Alligator mississippiensis: one gene and its partners. Each later gene encodes a partner of the first gene's protein in a complex. Links are inferred from orthologs where the notes say so. Each region holds a gene or a part of one and is shown in the gene's direction. Other genes may lie near its edges. The genes, in order: FAM8A1, HERPUD1 and UBE2J1.

Region 1 (3,747 bases):
TTCACCTAGCAGACCTCACCCACCGGCTACAGCTCCTTGGAAGCAGCGGAGGCTCCAGAGAAGAGCGTCAGGACCCCTCAGTGCCTGAGCCTCAAGTGGATCACAGCACACCCGGAGGGTCTGTGAGCATCTGCCCAGCAGCGCTCCATCCCCCAGGGCAAGTGAGTGGCCTTCAGCGTGCCCCTGCCAGCTTCACATATTTGCAAATTTGGCTGGAGAATCAAAACCTCCATGTAGTGACGCAGCCACTGGGGCTCTCCAAGGCCACCTGCAGGGTGTTTGGAAAGATCCCCAAGGGTGGACTCCCAACCCCTCCTCAGGCAGGAAGCCTGTGGGTAATGAAGCCATTACCACTGAGCATGGCCTTGTGGTACAACAGGATTACTCCAAGTATGGCACTGCGGGATTACCCCTTGGCCTGCTACGGTATTACCCGCCAGGGGAGACATGCAAATCAAACTCTGGGCAGACGAGCGCCACCTGAGGCAGCATGGGTTGCAAGCTGCCGCCCGCCCCTCCCCCGCCCATATTTGGTAACCCCGGGCCGGTTGCCATGACAGCAGCCCTGAAGCAAGGGCGTCACCGTGCCACGAACCGAGCTGCGCCACACCGATCGTCCTGGCAACGGAAGCCCCGCCCCCCGCGGCCTAGCTCCTCCCCGCCACTGCTTGTGCTCCATCCAGCCTCGGGCTGGCGTGACAGGACGATACCGTATCCGTGGGGGCGGGGGGCGATATCCTCTCGCGCTGGAGCGGTGTTGCCTCCCCCCGCACCTCCTCACTCAGTTGGTCGCTCCTGCTCTTACCCCCTCCCACCTGGCAGGTGGGTGAAGCGGAGCGAGGTTGTCGGCCTGCGCATGCGCAGTGGAGGAGGGGCGTGTGGAGGGAGCGGACGGGGGCCATGGCGGAGCCGGAGCCCGCGGCCATGGCCGCGGCAGGGGCTGAGGTGGAGGAGGAAGGGGGCGCGGGGAGCAGCCCGGGCACAGGCCCGCCGCCGCCCCCGAGCGCGGCGGAGTACGCGCGGCGCGTGCACCAGTGGCTGTGGGACTCGTACTGCGGCTACGTGAGCTGGCACAGCGGCCTGCCCGCCCTCATGGCCGCCGCCGCTGCCGCCGCGGGCACCGCGCCCTGCAGCGCGGGCCCCGCCGCAGCCGCCGCTGCCGCCGCCGCCTACTACAGCCCCTTCTACGTGCTGCCAGCGCCTGGCCCGGCCCGCCTCACCCCGCTGCCCCGGCCCGGCCCCGCCGCCCCGCCCCGCGCCAGCAGCGCCCCGCGCGATAGCGCCCGCCCGGCAGGTGAGCCGCGCCTCGGGTGGACGGGACCGCCCCTGCGCACTTCTGTCAGCCCCCAGCCTAGTAGATCACAATGAGGGGGCCCTTGGAGCAGGCCCCAGGGGGCAGAGCGCACCCCAGGAAGCTGAGCGGCCCAGAGCAGGGATTGTCTGCTCTGCCCCACGCTGCCCTGAGGTCCTTGCGGGGGTGCCGTGCGCTGTTAGCGCCATGCACGTGAGTCACAAGACGGACCTGGAGATTTCTGCCAGGCGTCCCTGGTGTCAGCACCATTTTGCTGCGCAGCACCGGAACGGCTCTAGTGCTTTTCTGTAGTCAAAAAATGGTGAGTTGGCATTTTTGAGGGGGCCCTGAATCTTTGCAGGGCTCCTTTGGGTCTTGAACAGGCAACACCCGCCGTTCTAGAGTGACCCCCATGCTGCAGATCAGTAATTTCTCTTTGGACCTGCATGGCAGGTCAAGGGGACAAAACCAGCGAAAATGAGTGAAATCTAATTGCTTCCAGATTTTACTTTTTCCCCCCAGTTGTGAGCTCTGAACAGATATGCGCTTGGTTTAAAAGGAATAAGGGAAGTCGTACTCTGAAGTTTAGATCACTTAAGAACAAATGCTGTTAATTGTCCCAGAATGTGGTATGAACAAGGTTTAGTAAAATCACTCTTGGACAGTCATGCACATCTTCAGATAATAGTAGATCAAGCCACTATGCCAAGGACACTAGGGAATTGACTGCCTGCTAATACGTTTCAGTGGAATGGGAATGTTTCTTTGCTCACCGAGGATAGCGATGGAAAACAGCTTTCCTGATGAGAGAAGAGCATTTCCACTGCAGTGTAGGCAGCTCTCCTCAAAGGAGAGTGTGTAGCACAATTAATTGTACAGTCCGGATGGGTGAATGTAGGAAATCAATAGCTTTGTGCAGTAGCTGTTTGGCATGGGATACAAGAAGATTGCACCCTGTAGTCAGCATAACTTTGGCTATCCAGCATGGACTCAGTTTTGCCAGCAAAGTGTTATCAGAACCCTTGGGTGTCAAATACACAGCCTGTAGGCTGGATCTGCCTGTGGAGCTATCATCTGACCCCTGGTGCTGCCTATGGGGCTTGGAGTGACCGACAGGCAGCGTGCAGAGCACACTGGGTGGCCTGTTCCAGCTCATATCCTGGAGCAGGTGCTGCGGGCAGCGCAGCACTGTGGGGTTCTGGGGCCACGTTGCATGCAGTCCCGTACCTGCTCAGCTCCAGGGCCATGCTGCACAGCTCCGGAGTTGCTGGAGCAGAGCCATGCTACACACAGGACCCACTCCAGATCCAGAATGCGGGGCTGGTCTGTGGGTTCTGCCTGGCCTGTGGACTGGCCCCATGGGGCCAGATTAGTGTCTACACCGGGTGTGTAAAACTCGAGTTAAGGCAGTAGCAGTCCCATGATAGAGTCTGCGCCATAGATGAATGAATCTTAGTGGTTTTAGAATTGGGCACAAGTTCTTTGGAGGCACTTGTCCACAACTTTTTTGAATGTGGAGGCATCCCCAGTTGAGAACCACTGAACTATTGCAATCTGTTTTGTATGGACAGTGCTTAGAAGAGGCATAGAGGGACCATGAAAAAACCTTCCTGCGTTGAAAGGGGGAGGTGGACATTGAAGAGTTAAAAGACACGCTGTGCAGTCTTTTATTTTTCTGAAAGCCACTATAGTGATCTTTGACCAATTAAAAAAAATCCTTATTAAATCTGAATTAATGTGTCTCTAAGCAATGCCTGTTTAGACGGTGAGCTAATTGTATCTGTTTAGAGTTTATGCAGTTATTTTAATGTTTCAGTGACAGATGGAGATTCATACAGAAGTCAGTTATGCTGCATGGCTCCTCCAGACTGAAAGTTGCTACCTCAGCAGTAAGAATACTCTGTGTACAGGCAGTCAGGGAAAGCCGCAGCACCTGCATTAGGGCTCTCTGATCAGCCTGAAGCATACAGGATAGCTGGCTTGTGCTACAGCGTGTCCTGGTGCAACTCTGCATGGCATCTCCTGGAAACAGAGGCATTTTGGGCAAGTGGAAGTGTCCTGCCTGTCTTTGTTTCTGGGAGGAGCATGCAGGGGGTAGACTGGGAAGGGCTGTAGCACAAACCAGCTCTCCTTCCCACTTTAGGCTGATCAGAGAGCCCCCCAATGCAGGCAGGATTGCTTGCAGGTGCTGCAGGTACTTGGAACACTGTCATGGCACCCCTTAGGGGGCCTTGGGCCACCTGAGTTGAGAACTACTGCCATAGACTAAGTTGAGACACTGATAAGTCTCAGGTGAATTCTCCCTGTCTCTTTGGGATGCATATCTTCCTCCTTATTTAGTTGTAAGTCTCTGTAGCATCAAATTTGAGTGTAATTTTATTGTGACTGTAGTCACAATAATACTTTAGTTTGTTTCGTACTGAATAAATAGCCTCACTTTGGAACTTTATGATTTG
Region 2 (3,747 bases), on another chromosome or scaffold:
AGGGCTCCAGTAAAAGCTCAAGATTTCTACTCCATAGCAATTGGGATACTTCTTTTTCTAAAAGGAATATCTTGCATTTACTACAGGTCCACGGAAGCTGAATAATTAGTATTTAGTGTTAAAGGCTAACTCAAGACTTATAACATTCTGTTATCACCAAACACTGTCTGTAAGAACAGATATAAAAATTAACTGTGCCTTAAACAGGAAACAGTTCTGAAATGGAATATCACCTGTTGTCTTTGATTTAACAATATAAGAGTTTCAATACAATTTCAGAAAGTGTTTCCATATTCCTAATATAAGAAAGCTTATTAATGGGTGGGGGGGGTGTCTCACACTGATGTACAGATCCGATCTGATCTGTTCTTTGGAGGGGCGATTTTTCTCAACTTGTAATATATCCAACCTGGAAGCAGTCAGAGCCTTGTTCAGCTATTTTTCAGGGTCAGAGCATATTGGAGACAGCTAATCTTTGCCTCTGAATTTTCAGGATTCCCTTTGCAACTATTTATTCGTTTTCCCATTGTCTCTTGTCTTAGCCTACCATCTTTGAACAAGGGTGGTCTCTTTATGTTCACACAATACGTATTCCAACGGGACACATATCGTGGTGCTACGGCCATACTCAATTAGATCATTAGTAGAGAAATAATTTACTTAGAACCCAATTCTTTTCTCCCAGCTATTTGACTTCTAATTGTATTACTATAGTCTTATAATTCAGTGTCACAGAGCCAGGGGCTGAGCGATCAGGCCCTTTTGTGCTTAGACCCACTGCTCCAAAGCATTTCCCTCTCAGCTGCCGGGGGCTGCGAAGCAGGAAACCCCACACTTTGCAGCCGCCCGATCCCGTGCCTGCTCCTGAGGAAACAAGCTAGGAGCGGCACGGCGCTGCCCCAGCCCGGGACACCCCGCACAGCACCCCCCGCTCCCGCCCCGCCACCTCCTGCCTCCTGACACGGGTCAGCCCCGCCCCTGTCACTCTGTAGCCGGATGTCGCTTCTGATAGGCCATCTAGTGACACGCTCTCTTTCCGCGGCCAATCAGTGGCAGCCACCGCGTCCCGGCTGGCGCAGGGGGCGGGGCGCGAGGCGGCGAGGAGATAAAAGGCGGCGCCACGGGGAGCGCGGGCGCGAGGCGGAGAGCGGCCATGGAGGAACCTGCGTCGTTGCTGGTGCGGAGCCCCGCGGGGCGGCACCCGGACCTGAGCCTGCGCGCCGAGCCCGCCGGCACCGTGCGGCAGCTCAAGGCCCGGCTGCGCCGCCTGCTTCCCGAGGCGCCGGTGAGGGAGGGAGGGGCCGGGGCCGGGGCCGGGGCCGGGCGGCCCCGGTTACTTGAAGTGCTGCAGCGGGTTTTCCTGGGGTTTGTGGAGGTTTGAGCCGGGCGTGGCGGGGCGCCGGCTCGTCCGTGTGGCCGAGGGGTGTCGGTGCTCAGCAGGGGAGGACTTTGGGCGTTGAAGCCTGTGCGTCCGTGCTGGGCTTCTGGGAAAGGGGCGGGCAGAAGACAAGGTGCGAATCCCTTTGCTGCGGCTGGGAAAGCTGCGGGCACACGGGATCCCTCTGCTCCTCAGACGGAAGAGAAAGTCCTCCTGTCAGGTTTCTGGCCCACCCGATGGACGGACAACTCATTCCTGTTTTGTAGGAGTTGCTATGTTTCTGTGCGAGTTTCTGAATCTCTGACATCAATTTTGCACATAAATAATCAGCGGGTTTGGTTGCATCATCCCATGCTAAAAACAAAAGAGAATTGTGTTCAAAGGATTTGGATGTATTTATGCTGGGTGTGTTTTTTGTTGTTTCTTTTTTGGTATGCCAGCTGCTGTCATGCCTGGCTGCTCAGCATTTGCATGCATTTGAGAGAATAGTAACCCAACATATTTTTTGTCTTCTTTCAAAGCCTGAAGAGGACCAGAAGTTGATTTATTTGGGGAAGTTGCTGCCTGATCATCTTTATCTGAGAGATGTATTGCCTATGGTATGGCAATTGCTTGCTTCTGATAGTTGCACAAATTAAATGACATAGGAATATGTTATCGTTTTAATGCCTTGATTTCTGTTTTTAGCAGGAGAAGTTGTGTGTTCTTCACCTGGTGTACAACTCTAAGAGCCATTTAGAAGTGCAAGAAACCAGTTCAATGGTATGTTAAATTAATACATCAGTCTACTTTTGCTTTTCTGGGTGTGGACACACTCTGCAAATTTGGGATTTATGACTTCAAAGCAGAATTATTTCTGAAAAAAGGTTGACCCACGTCATGTAAATGCAGGGGCAGCATTGCTTCATAGGGTAGCTGTTATGCTAGTACTAGGGGTGAGACAACAGCTACATATTTGGAGTAAGCATTTGTAATGGCTTGTTTTGGAGCTGAAACATCTTGAACCAGGTTACGGCCATTGCATGTTGTGTCCAGCCTGGTTAGTGGTCTGTCTTGACCTGGTGGTCAGGGTAATACTTGACCTACTGACGAGGAAAGACATTTAGTACCGTACAACTGTTGTAGTTCCTCTTTCCCTGGTTGAGCCAGTGAGCTTGGTCATGAGGGCTGTGCTGTTTGCAAAGGGAGCGGTTGTCTTGAATGTGTATGTTTTCCATGATAATCAAGTCTCATTCGTATAAAGAAAGAGAATCTGTCAACAATTAAATGGGGTGGCATCTTTTAGGCTCTTCCTGGATTGTTGCCCAAATATTCATCAGTAATAAAACTTAAAAAGCCTCTGGAGGAAGAAACTGGAAATAAACCAAACTTAATACACTTTTTTTTTTTTTAAGTGTGCTTAAACTATGACACAGATCTCAGTTTCTGTATGAGGGTTTGCTGGTGTGATTAACACTAGCGATTTATAATCTCAAAGGCAAAAAAATTACATCCTTGAAGTCATGAGCAAACAATAGACTGTTTTTGTTTTTGTGTCATCTGTGGCAGAAAACAACTGAAAAAGATGTGGCTTTGTATTTGATAAACATGTATTGTCCTAGCACTTCAAGGCAACTTGCATCGCCATCACCCCATGCTGGTAGCCTCTGTCTAGTATTTGAGACAGCATTTATCAAATGGCAAATTGATACACACTTTAAAAAATTGAACCTTTTAAAATTAAGACAAGCAATTATTTTTTGTTTTTAAATGTGATCGGGGAAGGCTTTGTAAAAACTGATCTTGTGATCTTTCTGCTTTTACTTACAGTTAGCATTCGTTGGCTAAATCTGTTCATCATATGCTTTAGAGGCTGTTACACTTTACATGTAGTGACCTAAACTATAGTATTATAAAGCCTTCATACTGCTGTGGCTCTGCCTGTACTAGACAGGTTATTGCTTTAATTATGCTAGTATATGTAACCACTAGCATATTGCTTTAACCAGTATAGTTAAAGCAGTAAAACTTCCAAATATATACAAGCACAAAGATTTTATACCATAATGTAACTTTGCAACATCTACTGAGAGGAGCTGTAGTTCTTCATCGCTTCCTGTTGGAACAGGACTTAAAACATGTCATGTGTTTAAAAAAAAAAATAAAAAGTTTGGTTTCCCAGAATGGTGGAACTGCTGCTATTATGAGTGCTTTTTACTCCGTTTTCTGCACTATGGCCTTAAGCTCCTACATATTTAAAGAGTTCACTTTCTCAAAACAAATGACACTATTGCCATTGTTCCATATGCAGGCCACCTCTCAAGGTGTTTTAGGAACAAAACAATTCTAGAAATATTGTTTGTTTTGATTGTGGTTCATAATTGATATGG
Region 3 (3,747 bases), on another chromosome or scaffold:
GAAGGGCAATTACAGAGGAGATGGAGATGGGCTTTTTTCTCTGGCTGTAGGGGACAGGACAGGGAACAGTGGCCTGCAGCTTCGTCAACGGAAACTCAGGCTTGTTTTTTTTTTTTTTTAAGGAAAATTTTTCATGTCCCAAGTCAAATCAGCCAAATCATTTCCAAATCTGTGAGTCATTCAAGAACCATATGTAACCCTATTACTGGCAAACATCCTCCACCCCTACCCCAGGCTTCGGATGCTTCCAAATCCTTTGGCAGCCGTCCTATGGGCAGGCCCAAGCCAAGAGGCTTGGGGTTCGGATGTCCCCGGGTTTCCCTCGCCCTCAGCCGTAGGGCCACAGGAGCAAGCTAGCGAGTTTTTTTGAAAAATATCTATTTATCTATATGAGGTTATATCTATATCTACACTCCAAGTATTACTCCACAAAGAAAACCATAACCTGTTACCAAAGCCGCACCCGCGCAGCCTGCACAAAGGCCCGCAGGACACACACACACACACACACACACGTGTATCTCCTTCAACAGGGAAAAGGTAGGCTGGAGAGAACTAGGAGGGAGTTTCGGACTACGAGGGCAGTCAGGCGCAGGGACAAGCTCCCTAAAAAGGTGGTGCAATCTGCATCCTTGGACATTTTCAAGAGCAGCTTGGACAGACCCCCGTCCGGGAGGGCTTAACCAGGAATGAACGGGACGTGAACTCCATGGCGCAGCCGGGCCTCTTCCCGCCCTGCTTTCCCTGCCGCAACCGCAGCTCCCCAGGCACGTGTTGAGGCAGGAGGCGGGAAGGACCCCCGCCGGGGCAGCAAAGGCCAGACCTACCCCGCCAGACCGCCGCGCTCCGTCCGCGGGGCCGGGGCCCTGCTAGCTCGCAAACTTTCACTCGGTTTTGGACGCAAAGCCGGGGCCAAGGCCCAGCAGCTATGCCCGAGCCAGGCCTGTCCTCGCCCCCCCGCGCCAGGGGAGGGCCGGGCTAGGCCGAGGGGCGGGCGAATCGGCGCCTCCCCCGCCCCGCCCCGCCCCGCCCACTGGCCTCAGTCACAGAGGAGCCGCCGCCGCCGCCGCCGCCGCCACGTCAGGAGGCTCAGCCGGCTTCGCCCGCCCCTTCTCTTCCCTTCCCTTCTCGCGGCGCCGCCGGGCCATGGAGACCCGCTACAACCTCAAGAGCCCGGGTAAGCGGCCTCTCACCCCCGCTACGCTAGGCTGCTTCTCCCGTCCGGCGGCGGCGGCTCCTTGGCACTCGAGGCCGCGGTTTGGCGCCGGGCGCAGGCCCTGGCCTGGACCCCCGGCCGGCTGGCCCTGTCCGCGCCTGCGCGAGGCCCGGGGCAGCTTCCAGGCAGGGCAGGGCATTGCCCCCCAGGGGCAGGAGCTGGGGGCGGCTAAGCTCACATCTGCGGGGGGGAGGGGCGGGCAGGGGAGGGACGGGACTGAGCTGCCCTGGCCTAACCCTGGAGCCCGGGGCATCCATCGGCGTCTCCCTTCAAGCCGCTGGGGCTCCGGCTGGCCAGGCCCCAGGCAGCCTCTGTCAGACTGAGGGCGCCCCACCCGCGGGGGGGTGGGAAACGTCAGCGCTTCATTCCCCTTTGGTTTTCCTTTCCCGGCTGCTCGGAGGCACGGGAGCGGTTCCCCTCCAGCTGGTGGAATCCGTGGGCAGAGGGTGTCCTCATGCCCGACCTGACATCTCTGGGTGTCTCGGCTGAGTCGCGCTCGAGTGTGTACAGCGCTAACATTGCGTGAGGGCCCCCACCTGCGGCACCCATGAAAGGCTCGAGGGTGCCTTAGGGAGGATCGCTGTTGTTGGTAAATGTGAGGTGGAATGAAGATGGGGAAACGTGGAGTGGGGGTGGGGAGAGTGCTGAATTTTTTTAGGGATGCAACCATCAGAAAACCAGGCCACCATCAATGAAGGCATAAAACGGTTGGAGAGGACAGTCGTTCTCATTAAAGGCCCTGACATGAGCCTAGCATTTGTGGCTGCTGCTAGCCATTGTGTGCGACTTTAAAAACAAGGGATTGTACGTTTGGCTGCAATGTGTAATCTGTTTGGCGACCTGCAGCTAACTCCCACTGTTCCTTGTACGTTGCCAGTCTCCTCCAATTCCTGTCTGAAGCCGCAGTGGTATTGTCAGTGCAAGTGGAGTTGGGCATGACCAATTGGTTGACATGCCTGGCCTTCCCCATGAGCAGTGACTCTTGCACAGAAGAAGAGAGCAGACCTTATGTCTGTAAACAGTGGACCTTTGTTGAGGGGTGTGCTCTCCCCCTGGCATGCAGTAAAAGGAACTATGTTATGTTGTAGACAAGAGAGAGGTAGTTGGTCATGGGAATGTGAAGTTAGGAGGCCCTGCATCTATTAAAAAAAAAAAAAAAAAGACCCACCCGTCTTAAGAGGCTGCTAGCCGGTTGGTCCAATTTGCACTTTATAGACTAAGAACACATTATAGGTGTTCCTCACTTGTGTGACCCAGGCTGCACTAGAATGCAGTCAGTTGTTTGGAGTAATTTAATTTTCAGTACTGAAATGTATGGAAATGAAAAGTCGTTTCATAATTTATTTTTATTTTTTTTTAATTTTTTACCTCAGCTTAGAATTTCCTGGCTATTTTCCGTGTTAATTTATTGACACTACATGGGCTTCTGTACATAGTTTGACTTTTGTCAAAAACATTTTGTATATAGCAACACAGTAGTTTCCTCTTATGTGTTCTTTCCCATGTACCATGCTTGCACTGAAATAGATACATTTTGTTAATTTGCTTTTTAAGTACATGTCAAAAAAGCTTATTTCACCAAATGCGTAAGCTTCAGAGTAATACATAGGAATAGTTTATAGTTATAGCAAACACATTAGACATGCCTGATCATTTGAGAAGAGTGCTGGAGGGGACCTTACAGTGTTATCTAGTACAGTCCTCTGCTCAAGGTAGGATAATCCCTGACTACGCCATCCTAGCTAATTTTCTGTCTAACCTGCTCCTGGAAAACCTCCAAGGATGGAGATTCCACAATTTCTTGACCAGTCTCTCAGTCAGGAAGTTCCTTTTAATCTCCAACCTAAATTTTTCTTGCTGAAACTTGAGGACTCTGTTCTCCTTTGAAAGAAGCCCTATCAGGTACAGACATTTGGGAGTGATTTAACCCTGGCTGTTCCCAGGTTATTTTTTTCCAGGAGTGGCCTTTTTTTATTTTTGGTGAAAAGCCTGATCATCTGTACACTTGTGGTTTCTCCTAAGAGAGCAGTGACTCTCCCAGGAGAAACTGAATGTCTGTATGAGGTATGTGGCTTTAGATAAGTTTCTCTACCATGAGAACAAACCTGGGAGTATTCTCCCACTTCCTTTCAATGTATACAGAGCTCTATTATCATCACCCTTCAGGTATTTGAAGTGTTATCAAATTCCCCTCAATTTTTTCCTCTCAAGACTAAATAACCCAACACTAGTTCTTTCAGTGTTTACTTGTAAGTCATGCCTCTCAGGCCTCTAATCATCTTCATTGATATCATATATTTTCATATAGCAACAAATACATTAGAGCTGTGACTTCTCAAAAAAAAAACTTGTAAGTAGAAGGGTCACACAGACAAAAGTACAAGATGATAACTTTTTAAAATAATCAACTTAGGAAATCAGACACACTTAAGTATATTTAGGTTTGGTTTATTGCATATGTCAACTGATGAGGCATGCAAGCACACCCATTTGTTATGGCTTGCCACGTCACTGGAAAGAATGGCATTGCA

The links.
Region 2: FAM8A1 (region 1) and HERPUD1 share a complex: the UniProt entries of both Homo sapiens proteins name them as parts of the HRD1 complex. The link is inferred for Alligator mississippiensis from reciprocal best matches to the Homo sapiens genes FAM8A1 and HERPUD1.
Region 3: FAM8A1 (region 1) and UBE2J1 share a complex: the UniProt entries of both Homo sapiens proteins name them as parts of the HRD1 complex. The link is inferred for Alligator mississippiensis from reciprocal best matches to the Homo sapiens genes FAM8A1 and UBE2J1.

The regions. Positions count from the first base shown.
Region 1 is NC_081826.1:130,847,129-130,850,875, forward strand, and holds the start of FAM8A1 (protein FAM8A1), read left to right. Parts: upstream 1-885; 5' UTR 886-900; coding exon 901-1,294; intron 1,295-3,747. UniProt on the Homo sapiens protein: Plays a role in the assembly of the HRD1 complex, a complex involved in the ubiquitin-proteasome-dependent process of ER-associated degradation (ERAD).
Region 2 is NC_081833.1:36,703,335-36,707,081, forward strand, and holds the start of HERPUD1 (homocysteine-responsive endoplasmic reticulum-resident ubiquitin-like domain member 1 protein), read left to right. Parts: upstream 1-1,125; 5' UTR 1,126-1,153; coding exon 1,154-1,285; intron 1,286-1,493; exon of another isoform or gene 1,494-1,729; coding exon of another isoform or gene 1,730-1,783; intron 1,784-1,899; coding exon 1,900-1,977; intron 1,978-2,065; coding exon 2,066-2,140; intron 2,141-3,747. UniProt on the Homo sapiens protein: Component of the endoplasmic reticulum quality control (ERQC) system also called ER-associated degradation (ERAD) involved in ubiquitin-dependent degradation of misfolded endoplasmic reticulum proteins.
Region 3 is NC_081824.1:76,994,438-76,998,184, reverse strand, and holds the start of UBE2J1 (ubiquitin-conjugating enzyme E2 J1), read left to right. Parts: upstream 1-1,042; 5' UTR 1,043-1,146; coding exon 1,147-1,177; intron 1,178-3,747. UniProt on the Homo sapiens protein: Catalyzes the covalent attachment of ubiquitin to other proteins. Functions in the selective degradation of misfolded membrane proteins from the endoplasmic reticulum (ERAD) and is essential for cells to recover from ER stress.